Mus musculus: one gene and its partners. The protein of the gene in region 6 purifies or fractionates together with the protein of the main gene of each other region. This does not show direct contact. Links are inferred from orthologs where the notes say so. Each region holds a gene or a part of one and is shown on either strand. Other genes may lie near its edges.

The links.
Region 1: the proteins of Dyrk1a (region 6) and Rb1 purify together in Homo sapiens (affinity purification with mass spectrometry; 4 studies listed by BioGRID and IntAct, with this or other methods). This does not show direct contact. The link is inferred for Mus musculus from reciprocal best matches to the Homo sapiens genes DYRK1A and RB1.
Region 2: the proteins of Dyrk1a (region 6) and Fntb purify together in Homo sapiens (affinity purification with mass spectrometry; 3 studies listed by BioGRID, counting the BioPlex papers as one). This does not show direct contact. The link is inferred for Mus musculus from reciprocal best matches to the Homo sapiens genes DYRK1A and FNTB.
Region 3: the proteins of Dyrk1a (region 6) and Ywhae purify together in Homo sapiens (affinity purification with mass spectrometry; 4 studies listed by BioGRID and IntAct, with this or other methods). This does not show direct contact. The link is inferred for Mus musculus from reciprocal best matches to the Homo sapiens genes DYRK1A and YWHAE.
Region 4: the proteins of Dyrk1a (region 6) and Troap purify together in Homo sapiens (affinity purification with mass spectrometry; 6 studies listed by BioGRID and IntAct, with this or other methods). This does not show direct contact. The link is inferred for Mus musculus from reciprocal best matches to the Homo sapiens genes DYRK1A and TROAP.
Region 5: the proteins of Dyrk1a (region 6) and Fam53c purify together in Homo sapiens (affinity purification with mass spectrometry; 8 studies listed by BioGRID and IntAct, counting the BioPlex papers as one, with this or other methods). This does not show direct contact. The link is inferred for Mus musculus from reciprocal best matches to the Homo sapiens genes DYRK1A and FAM53C.
Region 7: the proteins of Dyrk1a (region 6) and Lrch3 purify together in Homo sapiens (affinity purification with mass spectrometry; 3 studies listed by BioGRID and IntAct, counting the BioPlex papers as one, with this or other methods). This does not show direct contact. The link is inferred for Mus musculus from reciprocal best matches to the Homo sapiens genes DYRK1A and LRCH3.

Annotation. Positions count from the first base shown.
Region 1 is NC_000080.6:73,319,323-73,322,822, forward strand, and holds part of Rb1 (retinoblastoma-associated protein), read right to left. Parts: intron 2,822-3,500; coding exon 2,695-2,821; intron 1-2,694. UniProt on the Homo sapiens protein: Tumor suppressor that is a key regulator of the G1/S transition of the cell cycle. The hypophosphorylated form binds transcription regulators of the E2F family, preventing transcription of E2F-responsive genes.
Region 2 is NC_000078.6:76,906,967-76,910,466, reverse strand, and holds part of Fntb (protein farnesyltransferase subunit beta), read right to left. Parts: coding exon 3,393-3,500; intron 278-3,392; exon of another isoform or gene 257-277; coding exon 124-256; intron 1-123. UniProt on the Homo sapiens protein: Essential subunit of the farnesyltransferase complex. Catalyzes the transfer of a farnesyl moiety from farnesyl diphosphate to a cysteine at the fourth position from the C-terminus of several proteins having the C-terminal sequence Cys-aliphatic-aliphatic-X.
Region 3 is NC_000077.6:75,753,387-75,756,886, reverse strand, and holds part of Ywhae (14-3-3 protein epsilon), read right to left. Parts: intron 1,314-3,500; coding exon 1,207-1,313; intron 71-1,206; coding exon 1-70. UniProt on the Homo sapiens protein: Adapter protein implicated in the regulation of a large spectrum of both general and specialized signaling pathways. Binds to a large number of partners, usually by recognition of a phosphoserine or phosphothreonine motif.
Region 4 is NC_000081.6:99,077,973-99,080,940, reverse strand, and holds part of Troap (tastin), read right to left. Parts: intron 2,695-2,968; coding exon 2,618-2,694; intron 2,306-2,617; exon of another isoform or gene 2,293-2,305; coding exon of another isoform or gene 2,244-2,292; intron 2,158-2,243; coding exon 2,039-2,157; intron 137-2,038; exon of another isoform or gene 76-136; coding exon 1-75. UniProt on the Homo sapiens protein: Could be involved with bystin and trophinin in a cell adhesion molecule complex that mediates an initial attachment of the blastocyst to uterine epithelial cells at the time of the embryo implantation.
Region 5 is NC_000084.6:34,758,101-34,762,126, forward strand, and holds the start of Fam53c (protein FAM53C), read left to right. Parts: upstream 1-1,226; 5' UTR 1,227-1,497; exon of another isoform or gene 1,498-2,877; intron 2,878-4,026.
Region 6 is NC_000082.6:94,674,706-94,678,205, reverse strand, and holds part of Dyrk1a (dual specificity tyrosine-phosphorylation-regulated kinase 1A), read right to left. Parts: intron 755-3,500; coding exon 614-754; intron 1-613. UniProt on the Homo sapiens protein: Dual-specificity kinase which possesses both serine/threonine and tyrosine kinase activities. Exhibits a substrate preference for proline at position P+1 and arginine at position P-3.
Region 7 is NC_000082.6:32,973,100-32,976,599, reverse strand, and holds part of Lrch3 (DISP complex protein LRCH3), read right to left. Parts: intron 2,721-3,500; coding exon 2,627-2,720; intron 872-2,626; coding exon 751-871; intron 1-750. UniProt on the Homo sapiens protein: As part of the DISP complex, may regulate the association of septins with actin and thereby regulate the actin cytoskeleton.

The DNA of each region.
Region 1 (3,500 bases), on a different chromosome or scaffold from region 6:
ATGTGTTAGATACTTTCAACACTGCAGAATATAAAGTCAACAAGCAAAAATAAGTACCTTTCTACATACCAATAACTAACTTGCCAAGAAAAGAAAAGATCCCATTCCTAACAGCTTCAAGAGCATGGTGTTACACACCATTAATCCCAGCACTTACAGCAGGGCAGGATCTCTGTGCTTCAAGGCTGCTTGGTCTACATAATAAGTTCTAGATCATTTAGAATTACAAAGCAAGACCTTGTAACAACAAACAAACAAGACAAAAAATATTAGCTTCAAAAAAGAAAATGCCTAAGAATCAACATAACCAAAGTAGTAAAAGACCTCTACAGTGAAAATTTAAGAACCCTTAAGAAGATGAAGATACTAGAAAATTAAAAAACAAACAAACAAAAAAGTCTTATGCTCTTGGGTTAGCAGAATTAATACTGTGAAAATAGTTACATTACCAAAAATACCTATAAGCAATACAATGCGAGGCCTATTTCTAGTGACATTCTTTACAGAACTAGGATGATGCCCCTTAGCAATGTTAGTTTGAATAGCCAACCTGACACAGTGTAACATTACTAGGAAGGGAGTCTTCAGGAATTCTTTGGACACAGCTATGGCAAGCTGCCTTGACTGCCTTAATTGCTGGGGAAAGACCCCACCCAATCTTTTCATTGAAATGGGAAGACCTAGCCTGAGAGTAGGCAACACCATTCTAGGGTTTTTGCCTCTGAACTATATAAATTTTCATAGAGAAAATTCTATGAGTACTGGGCATGCATGCACTTATCCCTGCCTGCTCTTTATTGTAGGTGTGATGTGACTAGTTGTTTTAAGTTCTTGCCTCTTTGACTTCCCTATTATGATAGACTATAACCTGGAATTGTGATTTAAAATAAACCTTTCTCTTGTAAGTTGTTTTTTGTCAGGATATTTTATCACAATAGAAATGAAACTAATATGAGGTGACAAAACATTCTGAGTAACAAAAGCAATACTAAGCAAGTGTCAGAATAGTTGATTTCAAAGTATACTGTAAAACCATAGTAACAAAACTGTATGATATTGGCATAAAAATACATGGACCAACAAAGAGAATTCAGAATTAAACCTATACATTTATAGCCACCTAGTTGTTGACACTGGGGGAAAAAATCCTCTTCAAATAATGCTGAGGTAATTGGGCATCTACCTGCTGTAGATGTTTAACTCAATCAATATCTTTTGCCCAATATCAGGCCAGTGAGATACTTTAATGGGTAAAGGCAATTGTTAAGCCTGATAACCTGTATTCAATTCTAGAACCCATACGGCAGAAAAACTGACTCCTGAAAGATGCCCTCTGACCACGACACATGCAGTGCATGAGAGCATGTATGCACACACATTAAACAGACAGACAGTCAGACAGAGAGACAGATTGTGATTAAACATAACACAGGGCTGAGTGTGGTGGGGCACACCTTCAATACCAGCATGTATTGAAACTGATAAAGAACCTCAAATTTTAAATATTATTAAAGCAAATCATTCACTCAAAATACAGGTTAATGAACCAACTAAACACAGTTCTCAGAAAAAGATATACATAGGAGCACTAAAAATTTGAAATGGGGAAATGCAACTTAAAACTGCTTTGAGATTCCATTCTGCCCAAGTCAGCATGGCTAACATCAAAACAACAAATGTTAGCTGGCAAAAATGTGGGAAAAGAGAGCCTTATATACTGTTGGTAGTAAGGTAGAGTAGGGCAAACACCATGCAAGTCAGTGTGAGGTTACATAAAACTGCCATTCCACTATCTTATGTATGTCCAAAAGACTCGACGTCAAGACAGCAGAGAGATCCATGTTTCCTGCCATACTACTAAGAATAGCTAAGAGATAGAGCAAGTGGAGATGTTCATCCACCCATGCACAGATGAAGAAAGCCAGTCAATATATATAAAATAGAATTTATTCAACCACAAATAAAAATGAAATCACATTATCCTTACAAAAATGAATGCAACTGGAGGTCAAAATAAGTCAGACTAAAAAAAGACAAGTATGTTCTCTCCTATGAAGATTCTAAAACTTAAGTGAGTGTGTGTGTGTGTGTGTGGTCACGAAAGTTGGAAAGGGAGATGAGAGGAAGAGAGTTTTAAGGCATAGGGGAAAAGAGTGTGTGACACAAATGTGTGTGGCACAGGTGTGATACAAATGCAGGAGAAGCCGTCTAGAGGTGGCAGGGGACTAGCAAATGGAAGATAATGGATGGGAAAGAAGAGTGGGGGAGGAGATGAATAGAGAAAACAACAATGGTGTATCTGTACAAAAACTGTCACAGTGAAACTCGTTACTTTGTATATCAGTTTAAAATGAAGCCAGTTCAATGGTTGTGGGTACTTGGTGCCCAGCAGGCCTGGCAACTTGAGTTCAATCCCTAGGCCTTCACTAAAAGCAGAAGGAACACAGCTCCCACACCACCACCACCATCATCATTATCATCGTCAGAATCATCACCACAGCCACTGCCATCATCACCATCACCATCAGAATTTTTTTCATGTAAAATAAAAATTAAAAACCTAAGAAACCATTGAAATGAAAAGCATTCTAGTGCTATCAGAGGGTACTCTTGGATAGTGAAATTATCACTAACTTTATATATTTTACTTTATAGATTTTCTTTTTAAAAAATTAACTTTAAAAGCATTCTTACCAGGATTCCATCCACGGATGAAACTTTCTCCCAAGTTAGCCAAGCTCTTTCTCTGACATGATCGGGTACCTTTAACTTTTGACATAATGCAATAAATTCGGGTTCTTCAATTTCTTCAAACTCAAGCCTACAAATTAAAAAGTTACAAAATTGATACACTTGCAGATCAAACTAATTAAGCAAACACTTGTTTCTATAGTTTGCACACACCAGCACAGTTTTGAAAGAGAACATCTCTGAGTGCTTTAAGGTCTTACTTTATCTTTGAGAACCATTACACATCATTTAAACATATGCTTATCTTTTTTGTGGGTTTTCCAAATAAGACTAGCACAAAGTGAAGAAGAGCTGCTAGCATGGTGAAGCACATATACTCCAGAGCAGCCGGACAGCATTGTGAGACACAGCAAGTGCACTAGCTAAAGCACACTGGGAAGACGGAACTGTCACAGCAAAAACGAAAAAACCACACCCTGGTCAATCCATACATTCTCTCCACCTTCCTGTATTTCTTAATGATTAACTTGATAGAAATGATTGCATCACGTATTTCAGTCCTATCTCTTTGACCTTTCTTAACTGTAAGCTTTTAATGGCTAATTCCTTTCAATTTGACATATAACAACAACACTAGGAAGAGCAACTTAATTCTTGAAATTTTACTATGATCCTATGCATGGTTTTCCTGAGTCCCCACATCAGCCATACTTGGTAAGTCTTCCCATTCATGTTTTACACATCTACCATATTAGGGAAATTAAAGCAGTCACTAGAGGCATACCAAGTGGAAATTACCCAGGTATGAA
Region 2 (3,500 bases), on a different chromosome or scaffold from region 6:
GGTATTCTGCTCCGAGAGCCCCAAGGGTGGGAGGCTCCATACCAGCCCTCAAAACCCCAGGCAGTCAGAGTTTCCTTTCAACAGTGCTGGGTTAGCGACAGACCAGTAGCAGTGTGGACTCACCTTGAGCGTGGAGGGCTCGGTGCAGCAGGGGCAGGAGCCCTGCCTGCCAGAAGGAGTAGCAGCCGTCCACCAGCTTGTTGCAGCGGCCCTGAAAGCCTCCTTCAAACCGCATCTGCCGGCTTGTCACCCATTGCTGAGAAAAGACACGGTAGAGGTGGGTATGAGCCAAAGACATACAGCTACAAGGGCCACTCGCTCCGTGGGAAAATGTCTGGGGTTCTGGCTTCCCTTCCTCTCCTCCCCTTCCCCAGTGGCAACTGTCATTTAAACCTGGCCATTTTGAAACAACGGGCAGTGATCACTGCTCAGGGCTGAAAAGACAACCACCATTTTTCACTTAGCATAAAAAGTGAAAGGTTTCTTCTTTGTTACACTGTGTGTGTGTGTGTACATGTGATAGATTATATACATATATATATATATATATATATATACACACACACACACACACACACACACACACACACACAGATATATCTTCTTTGTCTCCTTCATTGCTATTTCCTGTCACCCCCTCCCCAGGTTTGTTCTTTTCTCCTCCCCAAATAGTCACCCAGCACCCTGTTACATATAGCCCATTACCCTCTCTTGTTCCCACTAGGTCCAAATCGAAGCAGGTGCTGAGTGCAGAGGCCCGCAAAGGTCTCTAAAAACACAGCTTGGGACAGAAAACTCAGGCAGGAGCACTTGTCTCTTTTCATCACTTCTCACGGGAGTTTGTTCAAAGCAGAGGAGGGAAGTGTTGGGCTGATCTCATCCGATGACATCAGGCTAGCCCTGCCTTTACCTGGTACCTGAGGACGTGCACTCAAGTCCCTACTAGGACTGAGAGCCACTGAGCCTTGCTACCGAATGATTACTTCCTGGTCTAGCCTCCAGTTCTCCTGGGGTGATACAAGGGAAATCTTGGGCTGAAGCTATAAACTGGCACTTGTCACCCGGTGGCCACACCTGATACCACCGCTCCTGGCTTATCTCCACATTCTCTAAACACACTCCAACAAGATAGCCTTGGAGGGATGAGCAGGGCAACTAGCTGAGCAGATACAATGCTCTCTCTCTTCCTGCTCAGCCTGAGGCCACAGAGCTGCACCACTGGACTGAAAAGGAACAAGGGGCCTATGCCCAGAACCCGAAGCCCTCCTAGACTGAGTTCCTGAATGCAGATGCAGGGGACTCTTTAGAGGAAAGCCTGGACTTCTTCAAATATAATAGAGTTAGAGTATGCCCCTGGTCATGGCAATACAAGTCAGCCTCGGATGCCTAGACGGACAGAAACCTGTGTGTTTAGGTAGTAACACCCTCCCCCCCAAAGCTGGTCTTAAATGAACCTTCAGGAACTGCTATTTAATGACAGTCAGCTAAACACTCAAAGGGGGTGGGGACGGGCAACAACTCTACCTTTGACTCACCCCAAAATGTGAGTAGATTCAAGTCATGCTTTTGTTCCAGTGCCTAAAGCCAGGGGTTGGTTCCACTTCCCTTGGATATAGGAAATCAAAGCCACCTCCTCCCTCCCCCTCTCTCTCTTGTTTTTCTGAGACAGGGTTTCTCTGTGTAGCCCTGGCTGTCCTGGAACTTGCTCTGTAGACCAGGCTGGCCTTCCACCCAGAGATCTGCCTGCCTCTGCCTCCTGTCTGTGCTGGGAGTAAAGGCGTGCACCACCACTGCCCGGCTCAGATACTGGTTGTTTCTAGCAAAGAGAGGGAAGGGGGTCACAGGGAGAAGGAGGGCTAGCATTTATGGAGCACCCTCTGTCTACCAAGCTCTTTATGGGTCGTCTTCTTTAACCCTAAGGAATAGGGATTATTATTCCCACTTTCCGGAGGGAAAGAGACAGCGCAGCTAAAGCAGATCAGAAAATAGTCAGGGATTTTTGGCTAAGAGGTAGATGCAGCGCAAGCCTACAGCACTGACATTTTAAACTTAGGCATGCACTAGTATATTCCTCCTTTTTGCCTACAGCATGTGTACTGGCTGGTTTTGTGTGTCAACTTGACACAAGCTGGAGTCATCACAGAGGAAGGAGCCTCAGTTGAGGAAATGCCTCCAAGAGATCCAGCTGTAAAGCATTTTCTCAATTAGTGATCAAGGCAGGAGGGCCCAGCCCGTTGTGAATAATGCCATCCCTGGGATGGTAGTACTGGGTTCTATAAGAAGGCAGGCTGAGCAAGTCAAGGGAAGCAAGCCAATAAGCAGCTCCCCTCCATGGCCTCTGCATCAGCTCCTGCCTCCAGGTTCCTGCCCTGTGTGAGTTCCTGTCCTGACTTCCTTTGGTGATGAACAGCAGTGTGGAAGTGGAAACTGAATCAACTATTTCCTCCCTAACTTGCTTCTTGGCTGTGGTGTTTTCACTGCAACAATAGAAACCCTGGCTGAGACAACACGGGACTTTACATTTCATCTCCTAAGGATGATCATATTGTAAAATGTACCCTCAAAGTTGGTCATTCAGTATCAGTTTTCCAGAACCTCCACAGCGCATGCTGTGTGAGAGGCTTTCTCTCACAATGAGGGCACAGTGCTGCTTGTTACACTACCACAAAATATAAAAGCAACACTCTAGAGGGCTCAGGACGGCTCAACAATGAGGGCTTGGCATCCGCTCTCAGAGAGAGCTGAAGGTCTAGTGTAGCTGGTTTGCTTTCATGATAGCCAGGGGAGCGATACCTCCCAAAAGACAAAGGGACCATATTCTCTCTGTATGTCCTAGGTTTCCCTTAACATGACCGCTTTTTGAGCACTGGCCAAGAGCTTGGGGGGTCTAGAAGAGATGTCCAGACCTCCCAATAGCATTTTCCCAGCTCTGCCTGGGGAACTTGCTGGAATGCAGATATGGAATTTTCACAGGTAATAAATCCTTGGCTCTTAAATGCTTCAAAGCTCTTCTGAGAGCCTCTTCTCTTAGGTGATTCTAAGACACATGGTAATAGTGAATCCTGTGGGACCATTGCTATTCTTGGGGCAAAGGTACAATGGCTCATTCCAGGTGGTGGGTGGAGGACTCAAGTCCACTCTGGGTCTGTTCAGAAACTTCAAAACAGGCAGGAGGAGAGGTAGGAGAAGGGAGTTGAGACCGAGGGCAGCTGTTTGCTCCTTCTGCTGACTCAGGGCTGGGCAGACACCAGCAACCACACCTGAGGCTCCATCTGCGCTCAGTGCCTGAGCTCAGCCCTCCTTTCCCATCACCAGACTTCCCCATGGTCCCAGAGATCGAGTCACATCACCAGTCCTAGGCTCGGGGAGAGGGTGGTGCAACAGCTACTCACTAGCAAGCTCTTCAGGTTCAAAGAACGTTCCTTCTTGAGGATAACCAGCGCAGCCAAGCCACAGAAGGTGTAGCCACCGTGGGCTTCCATCCCTGGCACCCCACCAAT
Region 3 (3,500 bases), on a different chromosome or scaffold from region 6:
GTTCTCTGCTGCCTCCTTCCTGTCATTTCCTGTGGCAAACTCAGCCAGATACCTGTGGTAGTCCCCTTTCCTACAATACAATAGTAGACAAAAAACACAGTTAGAAAATAGTCCTTACAGCATGGAAATTTTCTCTACCATGCAGTACATAACAAAATACAGTTAACACTTAAGATATAGATTTTTTTACAAAATTCAGTATCCATCAGGTTGGAAATCCTTCTTTCTTAAGGACTTCCTGGCTTTTTGCTGTTGTTGTCTTTGCTTTTTTTTTATTTTTATTTTTATTATTTTTTTTTTTTTGGTTTTTTTCAAGACAGTGTTTCTCTGTGTAGCCCGGGCTGTCCTGGAACTCACTCTGTAGAGCAGGCTGGCCTCGAACTCAGAAATCCACCTGCCTCTGCCTCCCAAGCGCTGGGAATAAAGGCATGCACCACCACTGCCCGGGCGGACTTCCTGTTTTAAATTATTGGCCAACTACCTCAGAAAATAACTGGGGAAAAAAAATTGAAAATCACCTGACTGGTACACAAATGTCTCCGAAGAAGAGCACACACTCGTCACAAAACACATTTTCTGCCATCACTTCAGTGCCCAGAACCCAGGAGCCCTGAGCAAGCTGAGCCCTGCTATTCCTGAGTTACTCTCAACCTTATTTCTCTACAGAAAGTTAAGATTATACTGTAAAATGGGAAACTTTAGCTAAGAAGGAAGCCACAAAATCAAAAACCCAGGCAGGGTGTGGTAACATATAATCCTAGCACTTTGGAAGTTGACAAGATCACCCCAAATCTGAGACGATCCCAATCTACAGAGTTCCAGGCCAATCAGAAATATAAAGACCTCTTCTCAAATAAACCTGACAACCTTAATCTCACTCAGGAAGCTGGCAGATCTCTAAATTCTAGGCTAGCATGGTCTGCCATTAGTGAGTTCCAGGACAATGGGTGGGGGAAAGGAGGGTCAGCTCAACAATGAAAAGCTGTGTATTTTGTACAGGTACTTTGCACAACAGTCAGACAATCTCAAATACAATTAATTCTTCATTAGTATTGTTTTTTCAACTAATTAAAACTGTAAGTTCTGATAACTAACCCTCCAAATTCTCAGCTATTTTTAAATAAAAGTTGAAAATCTACATTTAAAAAGTTATGGTTCTAAAGCCAACTTTAAATCTTACATTTTCCCTTCTAGTATAGAACCTACATTTTATAATAGAAAACCTTGGACTCGCCAGTGTTAGCTGCTGGAATGAGGTGTTTGTCCAGTACATCCAGAATGTCACAACAGATTAACTTGAGCTCAGTTTCAACCTAGGGAGGGAAAACATCCAATTAACTTTGGCAATTCAAAAGTCTTTATTATATTCTAAATATAATATCTGAAGAACCAAGTCTTAAAGCATGTATGTCTCCAAATCCTTAGACCTAGTCCTTAAAAGTTGATAGAAAACTGGTAAGAGTATAGAAAGCCTCTTCTTTAAAGCATACACAACCCCCCACAGTTCACCTAAAGACTAACCAAGCACTTACATGAATTAATTCCCATTGTAAGGTACCAACTGTGATGGCTACTCTTGGTTGTCTGCTTGACTATACTTGGAATAACTAAATCCCAAGCAGCCAACTTAAGGTGGGAAACCCATCCCAAATCGTGTGGAGTTAAGAGATTCACCTAAACCTGGGCTACCCCTTCTGGCGGCAGCTCATTTAAGACAAGAATGAAGAAGGATGTCGCTTTCTCTGCCCCCACTCTCACTGGCAACTTCATCTATCCTGAACCATTTCTTCCTGGTGTTAGAACGTATGCTCTGATGTTCCAATGTGGACTGAAAACTGGCAGCTCTCTACACCTCCCAGAGACTCCAGCACTAGATTGGGACTGCTGAAACATCTAGTCTCAAAACAACTACTAGATCCTTGGCCACTCTGTCAGGAGACAGATATTATTGGACTACTTGGGCTACTATTTATTTTAAAGCTAGAACATTTGTCCAAAGGCCATCAACTTGCAAGAACTTAAAAAAAAAAAAAAAAAAAAAAGGAGAATGAATGGATCAATCCCAGCACCACAACAAATATGTAAGAAGGTGACAGGACATGAGCCAAAGCAGTTCCAAGACCAAAAAAACCAAATAAACAAAAACAAAAAAACAAAAAACTCAAATCCATTTTGTCTTCAATATCAGTATGTTCCAACAATCACCCACTCTACTGTAGAGATCAAGAACCAGTTACAACAGCAAAACAAATTAAACATTGTCAAGTGTCCCTCTATTGGTTTGAATTGTCTAAAGCACATGGTATCCTTGAACACATGTTGGAGTTTGACTTCAGGTTATGTGAGTATATAATGGATCTGTGACACGGCCATGGGAATAACCGATGTTGCTATTTCTCAAGAAGGAAATGTGGAATGCCAACAAATTTGAGAAGGAACACAGGGAACACCCATGACCTTCCCCAATTTCTACAAAAGAATTAGGGTAAATGGCGTTCCTATACCTCAGACTTTTTCTGAAGGTAATATTGTTATGCCTTATATAACCTTTATATATATAACATGCTGGCCTGTGCAGCTGACCCATAAGCTCCTACCTGTTATAACAATATGTATAAATAAATACAATTAAAAAATGAGCCTTGTACAAATTGCACTGGACAGTCAGGATACCTGGATGCTCCTGATTTCCGAATTACATTTCCTCCAGCATTAGTCAGGAAAGGTGATTTGGCTAACTTCTCACAAACATCTTCATTTTGCTCTCCATTTTCAATGAATTATTCACAAACATTTTTAAAGTTTCCCATTTTTAAATTCTCCCATTTTTCTTCTATAATCTTGTCCTTAACTAGCAAGACTGCCTGCATCTGTCTTGTGGCTTTTTAACAAAGACCAAGTCACTGTTACATTCTCCTTCATCCTTACTAGCTACAGTCACTCCAAAGCTCTCCTTGAAACCTCATACTCAGCTTTGACATCACTGCATGCTACCATGCCTTTCTCCCTTGTTCACAAAATAACTAGTTCATCTCTCCAGGTACCTGACACATCACCACGGTGTAAAGAAACCACTAAAATCTTCCTCACCTGCCAAGTTTCAACAGCCCTAACTTTCAACCCTACCCTAGGCAACCAATCAGTCCTTGGCCTCCTCCTTCTGCTCCTGAGTTTCTTAGTCCACTTGAGAGGCTTATCAAGACTTCAGACTACTGACTTCACCTCCCAATTGACCAGTTACTTCCCCTGTCTCCTGATCACATCCCCAGTCTTAAACCACACTTTTTCTTAGTTTTCTCACGCCTGAGGAACACCAAATTGTCTGTCAATCTATATTCTTTGTTCTAAAAGTATCTGAAGGTACAATTCCAACTTATTTCCATAAAACCTCTGGCACATTCCTTAAGCCAGCTATATCTCCATTTTCATCATCTATAAATTGGGATAATATAATAGCTACCTTCCCAGGGTTAATTAACTAACTTCTAATGTTGCTAAGG
Region 4 (2,968 bases), on a different chromosome or scaffold from region 6:
TTTAGGTAGCGATCGGAGGGGTGTGAATTGGGCTTTCCGTCGAATGGCAAAGCGTTTCATGGATGAATATGTGCTCTGAGGAGAGAGGTGGTTGGCTGAGCAGGGCTTCCAGCCAAACTCTTCTCATCCTGCCCAGCCCAAGGGTTGTTGATAGAAATCACAGCTGAGAGGCCTGGGGAGCGAACACCCTGAGACTGTCTATAAACAGCTGACTGTTCGGTGATGGAAGGTGGTACTATACAACTGGGCTGCAGGAATGGGGGAGGGAGGGCAGCAGATGGGAGCCATCACCGTCCAGTGGAGGCCCCCAAAGCTACCTTCCTGTTCTCCCCACTGCAGCAGCTACTCTTTGGGGGCTCACGTAGGGAAGAGGCTAGGAGTACAGGCACACTGCCACGATGTGCGGCGCTTGAGTGGTTTATTCAAGTGAGAAACCAACTCTCTCTCCCTATTCATGCATCTCCCCCTGACTCTTGTTCAGCCCAAGAAAGAGCAGAGAACTTAAACTTGTTTGTAGCTCTTTACCAAGGACTTATAGTGCTTTGTCCATCTGTCCTCACCAAGGACTTACAAGTGCTCTGTTCGTCTGTCCTTACCAAGAACTTACACTGGTTTGTCTGTCCTTACCTCATCTCTCACCTGTCGTCACTGCAAACTCATCTCAGACCCTCTTCTCGTCTAGGCTTCAACCTCTCTGGTCTGTTTTGCCAACTCACAAAGACTAGATGTCTCCTCTCCTCGGGGCTTCTGCATCTGCAGCCCTCCCCATCTTGTCTGAGTCACAGCCTCAACTCTGGTCTCATAGGCAATCCTTATCTTCCCAATGACAGTGCCTTAGCCATACTACATTTTGTAAAAAGACTGCTTAGCATGCCCTTTGTAAACATTAAACAATTTTTTTCCCGAATTTATGTATGTGTTGGATGCCCATGTGAGCCAGAAGAGGGCATCAGATGTCTTGAGAGGGAATTACAGGCAGGCAGGTTTTTTTTTTTCTCCCAAGACAGGGTTTCTTTGTATAGCCTTGACTGTCCTGGAACTCACTCTGTAGACCAGGCTGGCCTTGAACTCAGAAATTTGCCTGCCTCTGCCTCTCAAGTGCTGGGATTAAAGGTGTGCGCCACCATGCCTGGCTGGCAGGCAGTTATAAGTTCTGGCAGGCAGTTATAAGTTGACCAATGGGAGTTAAGTTGCCAGCCCTACTCATCCATTCCCCTACACACACACACACACACACACACACACACACACACACACACACACACACACACACCTTCTATTTTTAAACACAGGGTTTTGCTACATAGCCGAGGCTGTCCTGGAATTCACGATGGCTCAGCCCCAGGCAATTCTCCTGCCTCCTCTGGGTTACAGTCATGTTCCACCAAGCGTGGCTCTAAACTACCAATTTATGACACCAATCCTTCTCCCACGTCCTTTCAGTACCTTATACATTTAGTTTTAGAAAGAACATGTCACCATGTGACATCCTATATATTTCATTTTACATTTGTGGGGTGGGGTTTATTTTGTCTTTTATTATTTTGCCCCCCTTTCTAGAATATACACACACACACACACACACACACACACATATGTATATATATACACACACACACACACATACACACATATATATATATACACACACACACATACATACACATACACACACACACACACACACACACACACACACACACACACACATATATTTTTTCTGGAACTAGAACCATGGCTGAATCCAAAAGCCAGTTAGCAAATGCCAGTGGAATGAAGGAATTAATGCTTGGTTGGTAAGTGTTGGCCATGTTTAAGCCACTGTACTGATTTGATAGTGACACACATAACAGTCTGTCATCTCTCACCCTGGGTCCCAGATACCCAACAAAGGAAGTCAGATCTACCCTGAAGAGGGCTTGGTCCCAACTCCAGCAAAAGACCAAATACCCTGAGTCCCGGGTCTGCCAATTCTACCCACAACCCTCAGTGTGCCTCCTGAACACCCCTTCCCCATCCTGGGAGGGTCTCGGCTCACCCTGGTGTTTGTCAGACTTTCTTTTAATGGTATCCGTTGAGCCAGACCCAGATGATGTCTTCCCCCTCCGTCGTCGGAGTGAGGGACAGCCTCCTGCTCGCCTCGGAGGGGTAAGGAAGCTGGGAGGAGACAGGACATTCATTTCCTGTAGTATCTACAACACCAAAGTCTACCCGTTCAGCATCCCCCGAGAGCACAATAATACCTTGGCAAACACTTATCAATCCCAATGCCCTGGGTGGGCTGGTGGCCATGGCTCACAAGGGACTGGGACAGAGAACACAGTAGACATTGTCTTGCAGGAAGTGGCAGGGAGAGGGCAGAAACAGAGATACACGCACAACTAGGCTGACCTCTGACCTTCCCGGGAGGTCTTGTCTGCTGTGTGTGTGTGTGTGTGTGTGTGTGTGTGTGTGTGTGTGTTTTTGGGATGTGAATGCTGGAGGAGCACGCCACCACTGAGCCAGACCTCCCTCCAACCTCTCCCTTACTTCACCCCACTCCCTGAGGCCTGCTGACCCTTGCCTTCCTGGTGCAGGCACTCACCCTTCCTTTGTTCCCACATCCACACAAACTCACCAGGCTGAACCGGGGTCTTCAGGAGCAGTCTTGAGGCTTGGCTTGCTGAGGTCCTTCTGTCAGTACAGTCCCCGTCCCTGAGTGCCAAGCAAGGGCTGGGCATTAGCTAAGGGCTTTGCAAACACCAGCGCAGTAGCCTCTAACAGTACCAGTGTTAACCTCACTTGGCCGATGGGGATGCAGAAGCCAAGACGCAGGCAGGTTAAGGTGAGCTTGCACAGCTAGTAGTGGTAAGGGTCAGGAATTGAACTCAAAAGCCATCTATTGTCAGTTTACGCTGTAGCCAAATGACGCAGCGCTCCCCATGTCCTCCATGTCATAGATAAGGCTCAGCTGTCAAAGTCTGAACCC
Region 5 (4,026 bases), on a different chromosome or scaffold from region 6:
TAGACCAGGCTGGCCTCGAACTCAGAAATCCGCCTGCCTCTGCCTCCCAAGTGCTGGAATTAAAGGCGTGCGCCACCACGCCCGGCTTCCACCTCAACTTTGTAATACATTTTTTAATTCTTCTTTTTCAGTTTGCATACTTGAAGCTTCCTGCTTCCTCCCCGGCCCAGCTCAAAGATGAAGTTCTCTATCACTAAGTCTACCTGTTTCCCTATCCCAGATGAGGGGGCTTCAAAACACTTAGAGTAAACCCTTGACTTTTAGGGATTTGCTGCTACAACTGTAATAATGAAATGACTGGAATTACCACTTTCTATCCGACTAAAGAAAGGAATCTGAAACTCTGCCCTACAGTGATCTGAGCATGAGAGCATTTATTGAAAAAAATTTTTCCCATCTGAGACCTCCAATTTACAGAAGAGCCAGAAGCCTCTATGGGCTTTCTTCCCTACTGACATCAACACCCAGCCTATTGAAAAAAAACTTAAAACTTTGGTTGAGGTGGGAGGTGGTGATAATGGTACAGACTTAATAAAAATGTGGTTTCCAGTTCCTGAAGAGGAAATACAGTACTGTTGAAATCGGTTCCTCATATGTCAGCTTCCTCCCTCCTTCTGTCTTAAGTGGTCCAGCCAGAACCATCCTGCTCCACCACCACCCCCCCATACACCCCGCAACTGAGCCACCTATGATGTCATAATCACAATCCCATTACCTCATCCTGCTGGGGGGGGGGCGGTAAGGAGGAAAGGGAAGGGAGGGAGTGAACAGCCTCGGGTCCGCCTCAGCTTTACAAAGTGTTTTGGGTGAGAACAAATTACAGAGCAAGGGGACACAGCTCCGCAACCGTTATAAATCTCAGGTTTATAAAAGCTCTAGCAGATCTGGCAGCTAGAAGAGGGGCTCCGGCTACTCAGAGCAGGCCTTGACCGGCGCTTGGACTACATTTCCCAGCAGCCTTCACGCCGAGGATCAGTCCTTGCCGGGGGAAGGTGGGGGGATGCTTGCAGAAAGGTGGCTGTGTCGGAAGGGAAAGGAGGCCAGGTGAGAAGACTGTGGCTAATATTGTTTCGTGGCCTGAGCTGAGTCAGATAGTTCAGTTGGGAGGATGGTTTAGTGGAAGGAGTGGACAATGGCTTTGTTTACCTTTATCCGACATGGCTTCCCCTACGGGCTTCGTGATATGCTTCCAACTGGGCCTGTCCACTTTCCACGTTATTTTGGAGGGGGTGATTAGTTAGTGAGGAGACACTCCGGTCCCCAAACCACAGCTCTAGGCTCCTTTCCGACGGCGCTATTCTGAAAAAGATTAAGGGAGACACCACGTAGGGCTTGGGCCTCTTCGGCAGGTTCCGGGGGATTCTGTGAATAGACGCGATCCCCCATACTCTCCTCAAAGACCGGTTGGTTCTTGCCAGCGCCTTTTAAGGGCACCGTGGGGCGAACGGAGCGCTCAGAGCTGCTCCGGCCGCGGCCCATGGAGCTGTAGGAGCCGCGGTAGGTAGCGGAGGGCAGGTGGTGCTGGGGCCTCGGGGCGGGCACCGCGACCGTCCCTCCCTCTCTCCCATCCCCCAGTCCAGCCGCTGGTGCGGCGGAGCCTCCTAGGCCGTCTCGGCGGGAGAACCCGGGACCCGGTGGGGGAGGGGGTGGCGGAGTGCATGTCCCAGACCCTCCCCATCCCCTGCGTCCTGAGTTCGCTTCCCGCGGTCAGATGGGGAACCAGAATGGAAAGAAGAGAGCGACAGTCTCTCTGAGCAAACCCTGGAGTGCCCCCCCGGGGGCCAGTAGATGCCTCATGCCCCACCCCGCGGGGACAGGCAGGGCAACAGAGGGAGAGGTTGAGGATTAGAGGGAGCCTAGTCGTTTGCTTTTTCGTCGCGGTGGGGGATGGGTGCACCCCACTTGTCACCCCTGTCTTCACGAGAGCCATATGGAAGAAGAGCATTCTAATATCCATTTACCTTTTTCTTGCATCTCCCTGCCTCGCTTATGTTTTCCTTCAGTTTCTCCCAGAGGTGTGGGACCGGGAGACCTGGGGGGAATGTCCCCAGGGGATTTGCGACTTTCTTTTCCCTTGGCCTGACTGGATCTTAGGTCGTCCAGGTTTCAACACAACCTAAGTATCCCAGAAACGCAAGTGTCAGGAGTTGCTTCCATCCAATAGGAGTGGGGGGGTCTAGTCGTCATCTTGGGGGGTTGTGGTGGAGGGAGATTCTGGGCAGAGAGTTAGGCCTGGTGGGGTTACTGGGAGGGCCGAGCGGCCTTCTTGCTCAGTGAAGGGCTGAGCCTTGTGCCAGTAACGTTCAGCTGAGAAGTTTTAACTTGTTTAGTGAAATGTTGAGAGCTGTCTACCCCTCAGATACACAAAATGGAAGGGAAGGAAGGCTGCCAGAGAGAGCTTCTCACACTTTGTAAATGTCTGCTTGAGAACGAGGAGGCCCCTTGCAGAGCTGGTTTACCTTCTTTTGTGTCCTGGTTTGATTCCTTATGGCTTCCGTTCTGTTGCCCCTCTCAGCCTGGCCTGTTTTAGGAAACTCAGGCTGAGAGTATCAGTTGCGTGGTGGTAGTTGCATTGTTCCAATTACCGCTGTGTGTGGCCACATCCCGACAATTAAAATGCAGAAAAAGAGAAATCACCCTCTTCAGCTGCTGCTAGAGAGGGCTGGGAGTTTGCTGTTTGCCTCACTGAAAAGCTTGCAAGTGTTTTTCACTCCCTGCTCCTCATGGCTGGTCAGCCTGGAGCCTGGGGTCTCTCTAGGGTAAGATTCTCCACTTAGGTTCCCTTCTTGTTCATCATTTTTGAGGACAGAGTTAGAATGGGAGCAGAAGTGATTCAAGCTTTAGCTTCTCCCACCAGAACCCAGGGGAAGCAGCTGAAGGGAGTTGGTTCTCAGGAAGCTGGAACTTTGTTCGGAACGGTAGGGATAATTACGCATGGAAACCATAGTTAGCTAGAGTGATGATTGACGGCTGCGCCGTCCTTCCAAAGAACTCCATCCACATCCACAGGACCTTTGCTCTTTGTCATGTGCCTCTGAAGTGACACCCTCGTTTTTGCAGTGGGTGGGCTTCTCCAAAACATCACAGGAGGAAGACCCCTTAGGCTTCAACTTAGTGAGCAAGTGACGGAGGTTGGCCTCCAGCCAGAGAAAGATGCATAGCTTTCTTCATCCTAATGATACCACCTCTTTAGGCACACCAAGGCTTGGAAGAACAGCAAAGGGAGAGAGAAGAAACAACAGTCTGTGTGAACTATTTTATATAGGCCAGTTGGTAAGCTATTTTGATATTTCATGTGGCCTCATTCCTGTGATAGAGTAAGATCGTTATACCCATTTTACATATGGGTAAGCAGGAATGTTATATGGCTAGCCAAACTTGCCTGAGTAAATTGGATTAAGGATTAGGTGATAGTGGCAGCTTTTTTTCCTCCCGGGCTGGCCTTCACGAACTGTTGAGCTTCTGTTTGCTTTCATCTCCCGAGGGCTGGGATTACAGGTGTCTGCCCAAGAGTTAGCTTTCTTGGCTGACTGTTCTCTGTGCCAGTTTAATGCTCCACATACTCTGGCCTTGCCTGTTGGTCACTGATGGGAAGAGGTAGAACAAAGGCATCACTAACCTCCCTTCCTTCTTCCTCAGAGCAAGGCCAAGGCCCCGTAGGTAGGCAGTTGTGTGGGGTTTAGAAGCTGCTCTCAGATAAAAGTCAGTTGGCTTCAGTCTTAAGGAAGAATCCATGGTCTTCAAGTGGGATCATGAAAATCAACACAACTTTGTTGGATGAAGTCATGAGTTGTTTTTAATATCCGTAGAGTTGAAATGTGATTGGAACTGACCATTCTTTCTCATTGGATAAGAGAATAACCAGCAGCATCTACTAGGAAAGAGTGATGTATCAGCTGTTCATTTAAAATCCTCTTTAATCTGACCTGAAACTGAAAGCCCAGCCCTTGCTCCTCTCTCTGTACTAAACCCCTGTGGTTTAGAAGGGTTTTTCTGTTTGTTTGTTTTTTGTTTTTGTTTTTGTTT
Region 6 (3,500 bases):
TTTGGCAAATTGCAGAGACATAAAATCAAGACGCAAATTTTGTATTGTTTACTCTAATAAATTAATACAATTGCATTAGAAGATGAAAGCCCCCTGTTAACTTGGTCACTGAGCAAGGAATCGGAAACCTGTCAGAAGACTCCAGCATTGACTGGTATCCTAAAAAAAAGTATCATGAACTGCTGAAATTTAAAAATCATCTTCCTACTTAAAAAATTTAGTAACTGACTACAATTATAACTTCTGTCTACAGCTATGGCTTCACTCCTATGTACAAGCTTTGAGACTGACTGATTCGGTATTGAAGTATACAGGCTTTATCAGCTATCTCCAAACACAGGCAGGTAGTAGTCCATTTGCTTTTACTGAAACCCAAACAACTCTGACCATTAAGCAAACACTGGCCCAGTGCACAGTCAGCTCAACTACAATCAACTTTTGAACAAAATACTTTCTTAAAATTGATAACTATAATACAGTTGGCAAGAAAATTCAAAGGAACTATGAACAAACAGCTCTGATGAGGAAACAATAAAAGAGAAAAAAGGGTGATGGGAGAGGGAGAAAAGGGGAAGGGAAGTCTCCACCAAGAATAAGTGCACCCCCATTTTACCCGTTTTCCATCTTTGGTCTTCTTTAAGCTCCAAGTGCCATCGGGCAACTTCTCAAAGAACTTTCTTGCTTTCGGTGCTTGGTCAAGAATATGAGCAGGTGGGATGCCCAAGACTTCCACTATTTTATTCATCTGATCGACCTGTATTAAAAACAAACAAACAAAAAAAAAACCTGTAATTTCAACTGTAAACTCATCCACTTCTGCTTGTCAACTCTCTCCTAGATAGAGTGCACATATCTGTGTAAGGCTGTGTGTGTACACTGAGGATGGACACACTGTGGAAACTGGATGGATACACTGTGTTTGCTGAAGATGGATACACTGTGGGCACTGAGGATGGATACACTGTGGGTGCTGAGGATGGATACACTGTGTACACTGAGGATGGATACACTGTGGACGCTGAGGATGGATACACTGTGTACACTGAGGATGGATACACTGTGGACACTGTGGATGGATACACTGTGGGCGCTGAGGATGGATACACTGTGGGCGCTGAGGATGGATACACTGTGTACACTGAGGATGGATACACTGTGGGCGCTGAGGATGGATACACTGTGTACACTGAGGATGGATACACTGTGGGCGCTGAGGATGGATACACTGTGTACACTGAGGATGGATACACTGTGGACGCTGAGGATGGATACACTGTGTACACTGAGGATGGATACACTGTGGACACTGTGGATGGATACATTGTGGGCGCTGAGGATGGATACACTGTGTACGCTAAGGATGGATACACTGTGGGCGCTGAGGATGGATACACTGTGGGCGCTGAGGATGGATACACTGTGGGCGCTGAGGATGGATACACTGTGGGCGCTGAGGATGGATACACTGTGTACACTGAGGATGGATACACTGTGGACGCTGAGGATGGATACACTGTGTACACTGAGGATGGATACACTGTGGACACTGTGGATGGATACATTGTGGGCGCTGAGGATGGATACACTGTGTACGCTAAGGATGGATACACTGTGGGCGCTGAGGATGGATACACTGTGGGCGCTGAGGATGGATACACTGTGTACACTGAGGATGGATACACTGTGGGCGCTGAGGATGGATACACTGTGTACACTGAGGATGGATACACTGTGGGCGCTGAGGATGGATACACTGTGGACACTGTGGATGGATACACTGTGTACACTGAGGATGGATACACTGTGGGCGCTGAGGATGAATACACTGTGGACACTGTGGATGGATACACTGTGGGCGCTGAGGATGGATACACTGTGTACACTGAGGATGGATACACTGTGGACACTGTGGATGGATACACTGTGGGCGCTGAGGATGGATACACTGTATACGCTAAGGATGGATACACTGTGGGTGCTGAGGATGGATACACTGTGTACACTGAGGATGGATACACTGTGGGCACTGAGGATGGATACACTGTGGGCACTGAGGATGGATACACTGTGGGCGCTGAGGATGGATACACTGTGGGCGCTGAGGATGGATACACTGTGTACACTGAGGATGGATACACTGTGGGCACTGAGGATGGATACACTGTGGGCACTGAGGATGGATACACTGTGGGCGCTGAGGATGGATACACTGTGGGCGCTGAGGATGGATACACTGTGGGCGCTGAGGATGGATACACTGTGTACACTGAGGATGGATACACTGTGGGCGCTGAGGATGGATACACTGTGTACGCTAAGGATGGATACACTGTGTACACTGAGGATGGATACACTGTGGGCGCTGAGGATGGATACACTGTGGACTCTTGAGGATACACTAAAACCAACAGATATAATACATTTTGCCCTCACATTCTGCACACTCAACAGAAGGGAAGGTAGAGAATCAGCAAATAAGAATACAGATCCATAGTGTACCTTGGGACCTCAAATACAATGGAAAACACTGAGATAGAAAGGAAGGAAATTTTAAGGGTCAGTTTTTCAAGTTTTAAAGAACCAATAAAAATGTCTTACTAACTTACAGACATTAATTAAATTACAGTTTAAGTGAAAACTATGCATTCATGCTACAGTGCAACTACCATAAGGCTAGAAACCATGCTTACTGACATAATACAGCAGGGTAAACAGAGGAAGAGCCTGTTTTGGAAAAGGCTAACTACAAACATAGTCAAGCCTCCTCAAGGAACTGGTTCTGAGCAGGATTAGCCCCAACCCTATGGATGCACAAATCCACAGGTGTTCAAATCTCTTATACAAAAATAATATCTGTAAATAATTTGTGTGCATTCTTTCATACTTGAGATCTTTTCTAGGTTTCTTATAATTACAAATACTAGAAAAAGTCATTACGGGGGCTGGTGAGATGGCTCAGTGGGTAAGAGCACCCGACTGCTCTTCCGAAGGTCTAAAGTTCAAATCCCAGCAACCACATGGTGGCTCACGACCATCCGCAACAAGATCTGACTCCCTCTTCTGGAGTGTCTGAAGACAGCTACAGTGTACTTACATATATTAATAAAATAAATCTTAAAAAAAAAAAAAAAAAAAAGTCATTACATTATACTGTTTAGAAAATCCTTACACAGGGAAAGGACCAGAACATGTTTAGGACAGGTAAAATTCCTACTATGATGGATTCAGTTTACACCAGTAACAGTTACACTGCGATTCAATTAACCTAAAGACTGTATTTCAACATTAAGACATAACTAATCTCAAGTTTAATAAAACTTAAATTTAGATATTTGTACTCTATTGTCTCACAGATAAATTCTAAACATGAAAAGATTTGCCTGGAGTAGTTTTTGACCAATCACTTCTCTACCTATACATATGCAATACTTTAAACAATTATTTTTCGTTGAACTCAAAGATGAAGAGCCTAAAGGGGGCAGAGAGACCACAAAAACGGC
Region 7 (3,500 bases), about 62 Mb from region 6:
CCCTTGATAATAAATAGATAACTATTTCAAAAAGCTAAAAATAAATACAAGCAAACACAATTGATTGCTAAAAGAGCTCAAGAAATCTCTTTAAAATGGAAAATCTTAAAAAGAGACAATGTTACTTCAGAAGACTGTAGTAAGATCAAGATGAACAAAGATCTATTCTTCCTAAAGTTTCCCCTCAAATAAACATGAAAGAGAAATTATAAATTGAAAATACAGAGAAAGTGAATTTTATCTGAATGGTAAACTTTTTTTTGGTCATATATAAACAGAAGTCTTCAGAAGGGTGAAGGATCTACAGAGAAGCAAACTAAAGAGTGGGTGTGACAAAGACCACTTCAAAAACGGTAAGGAGACCAGCAACTTCCTACTTCTGTCGCCATGCCTTTCCAGTCTACTGCCAGTCTACTGATGGTGGTCTACTGCCGAGCTCTCCTCATCAGGAGGGACAGGATCCCTCTAGAACCCTAAGCCACAATAAACTCCCTTAAATCAAAACAAAAAAGTTCAGGTGGGAGCTGGGCTGTGTTGTAAAGTCCTTGTCTCTGGCCCACACGGCCCTGGGTTCAATTCTCAGCACCACAAAACCAGGTGTGGTGGGATACAACTGTACCCCCAGGGCTGGGAGAAGACTGGCCATCCTTGGCTACATAAGGGGTTTGAGGGCAGCCAGGGTTATAGGGAGAGCCTGTTATATAACAAGGCACACATGAAGGCTTTAAATGTCATCAGAATCGTGTGTACCTCCACCATTTGTGACCGCCACACTGCTGCGATTCTCCTGGTACTGGCTTTCTCTCCGCAGTCTTTGCTCTTTGGTAATCTCTGCCACTCGAAGAGGCAGATCCGAAAATTCATCTGTAGGCTTAAAAAGCAGAAACATTAAAAACCATCATTTCCAATTTTAGATAACATACAGTACAGGAATATAAACTGTAATCTACATAGGAGAAGAAAAAGCAAAAGTTTTAGAAATTAATAGAGAATATTGTATAATTCTATGAACACAATTAATGCAACTGAAATATGTACTTTAAATAGGCAAACCTTACCACAATTAACAAAAATAGAAGGATATTCAGAACTGTAAGCAAATATATACATAGGTTTAAAATATCTATGTATATATACACACATTGCAATATTCAAAAAGATAGTCACCAATACATACTATACTGGCTAGTTTTATGTCAACTTTTCACAGCTGGAGTTATCATAGAGAAAGGAGCTTCAGTTGAAGAAATGCCTCCATGAGATCCAACTGTAAGGCATTTTCTCAGTTAGTGATCAAGGAGGAAAGGCCCCTTGTGGGTGGGACCATCTCTGGGCTGGCAGTCTTGGGTTCCATAAGAGAGCAGGCTGAGCAAGCCAGGGGAGGCAAGCCAGTAAAGAACATCCCTCCATGGCCTCTGCATCAGCTCCTGCTTCCTGACCTGCTTGAGTTCCAGTCCTGACTTCCTTGGTGATCAACAGCAATGTGGAAGTGGAAGCTGAATAAACCCTTTCCTCCCCAACTTGCTTCTTGGTCATGATGTTTGTGCAGGCATAGAAACTCTGACTAAGACACATACATACATACATGCATACATACATATATAGCTAACTACAAATTTCAAGTTTTGATCTAATTTTGTTTTGACTTACTATTTATTTAATTTATTTACTTATTTAGGTTTGACAGGGTCTCACTATGTAGCTCTGGTTGGCCTGGACTTATATAGTCCTGGTTAGCCTTGAACTCACAGAGATCCACCTGCCACTGCCTCCTGACACTGAGATTGAAGGCATTCAAGGCACTGTGCTACTCACCAGGCTTCTGTCTGGAATCTCAATGACACAGTGTTATAAAATGGCTGTTATCAGCACCTCTAGCAAACGTGTAGTCCTTTAATTGGTAGTTAAAATATATCCTAGTAATTTTACAAAGCAATGGATTTCATTGGAAACTCTAATAGAATTAATTAATCAAAACAAGAACCCATGCAATTTGTGGCATGTGAATGAACTCACTGAGCTGTGCCACCTTCTGTGGGGCTCCAGCCAGTGCCTGCTGGAGAGGACTCCACTTTTGAGCTGTCACTTAAAGCTCAGGTTCCCCTTCCTCACCCATCAGTGTCCAGTCCTGCGCACTTTCCCAGCCTCCAGCACACCCATTCTATCACCATCTCCGCCGCAGACCACCCTGGCCCTCACATGGATGTCAGGGCTTCTCATGGGGTTGAGACAGTTGCTATGCAGTGCAAGCTGTTCTGGAACTTACTGCATAGGCCAGGCTATCTTCAAACCATGGTCCTCCTGCCTCAGCCTCCTGAGAGCTAGCTAGGGTTATAGAAATGTGTTACCACAGCCACTAGGCTTCAGCTTTAACCACCTCACTTCCTACTCAGCTTTCCAGAATATCTGTGCATAAGACTGGGTAACAAATCTGAAAGAGGATACATGGCAAAAGGTGCTTTTAAAAGAAACAGTGTAGAATTCCCAGGTGGTAGGACTATGTAGGGTTTTTGCTCTTTGACATTTCTCTATTTTACCTAATAAATTGAATTCCAATTTAGATATTCCCCTTAATTTAATTTATTTTTCAAAATCAGGATTTTTAACACATGAACAGAACACTTACCTCATTCCCTGACCATCTCTTATCACCACTATCCACACTATTGAAGCCTGAATCCAGGGCTCCGTAAGGACGGCCTGAGTACAGTTCTTCATGGCTGTCCAAAATAAGTGTTACATGTTACTATGAGGTTTTATATTTTTCAAAGTAGCATTTGAAATTAACCAGTTATAATTTTATTAACCAACACGCTCATGACACTTGGCCACATAAATATTTGAGCTAAGTGAGCATTCTCTGAACTTTTAAAGAAGAAAATCCCAAATAGGAACAAAGTAAACAGAATAGTACGAGGCCCCAAACTCAGTATCCAGTTTGAAAAGTACCACTGCTCAACTTTGTTTTCACTGCACTCAGTTTTAATGCCATCTTACCAAGCAGTGGATTTCTCCTAACAGCCTCTCATACTTGGTGCCAGCACACTTTGTCGCCATGGGTTCATCTCCCTCCCTCCCTCCCTTCTAGCTGTTTTCTTTCTCCCTTTCTGCTTTTCAGCACAGGTCTTCCACTGCCCTCTCTTTCCATTTCCTTAAGATCTCTTCCTCCACTCTCATGATCCTCTTTCACACACAATGATGCTAGCTTTCACACACATGCAAATGCAGGTCGGTCCTCACACAAACATCATCCTTATCTGGCTTTGGCAGTAGTGAAATCCTGACTTCCCCGGGTAAGTTTGGCAGTGTTCTTTCTCTGCCAATGGACAGCACTGGTGCTAGCTACTCTTTAAATTTTGTGCTGTTTTGAGATAGGGTTCACTATCTCACCTTGGATGTCCTGGAACTCATAATGTAGACAAAGATGAGCCAGAACTCACAAAGATCCATGTGCTGCTGCCCCTGAGTACTGGATTAAATTTGTGTGCCAACACACCTGG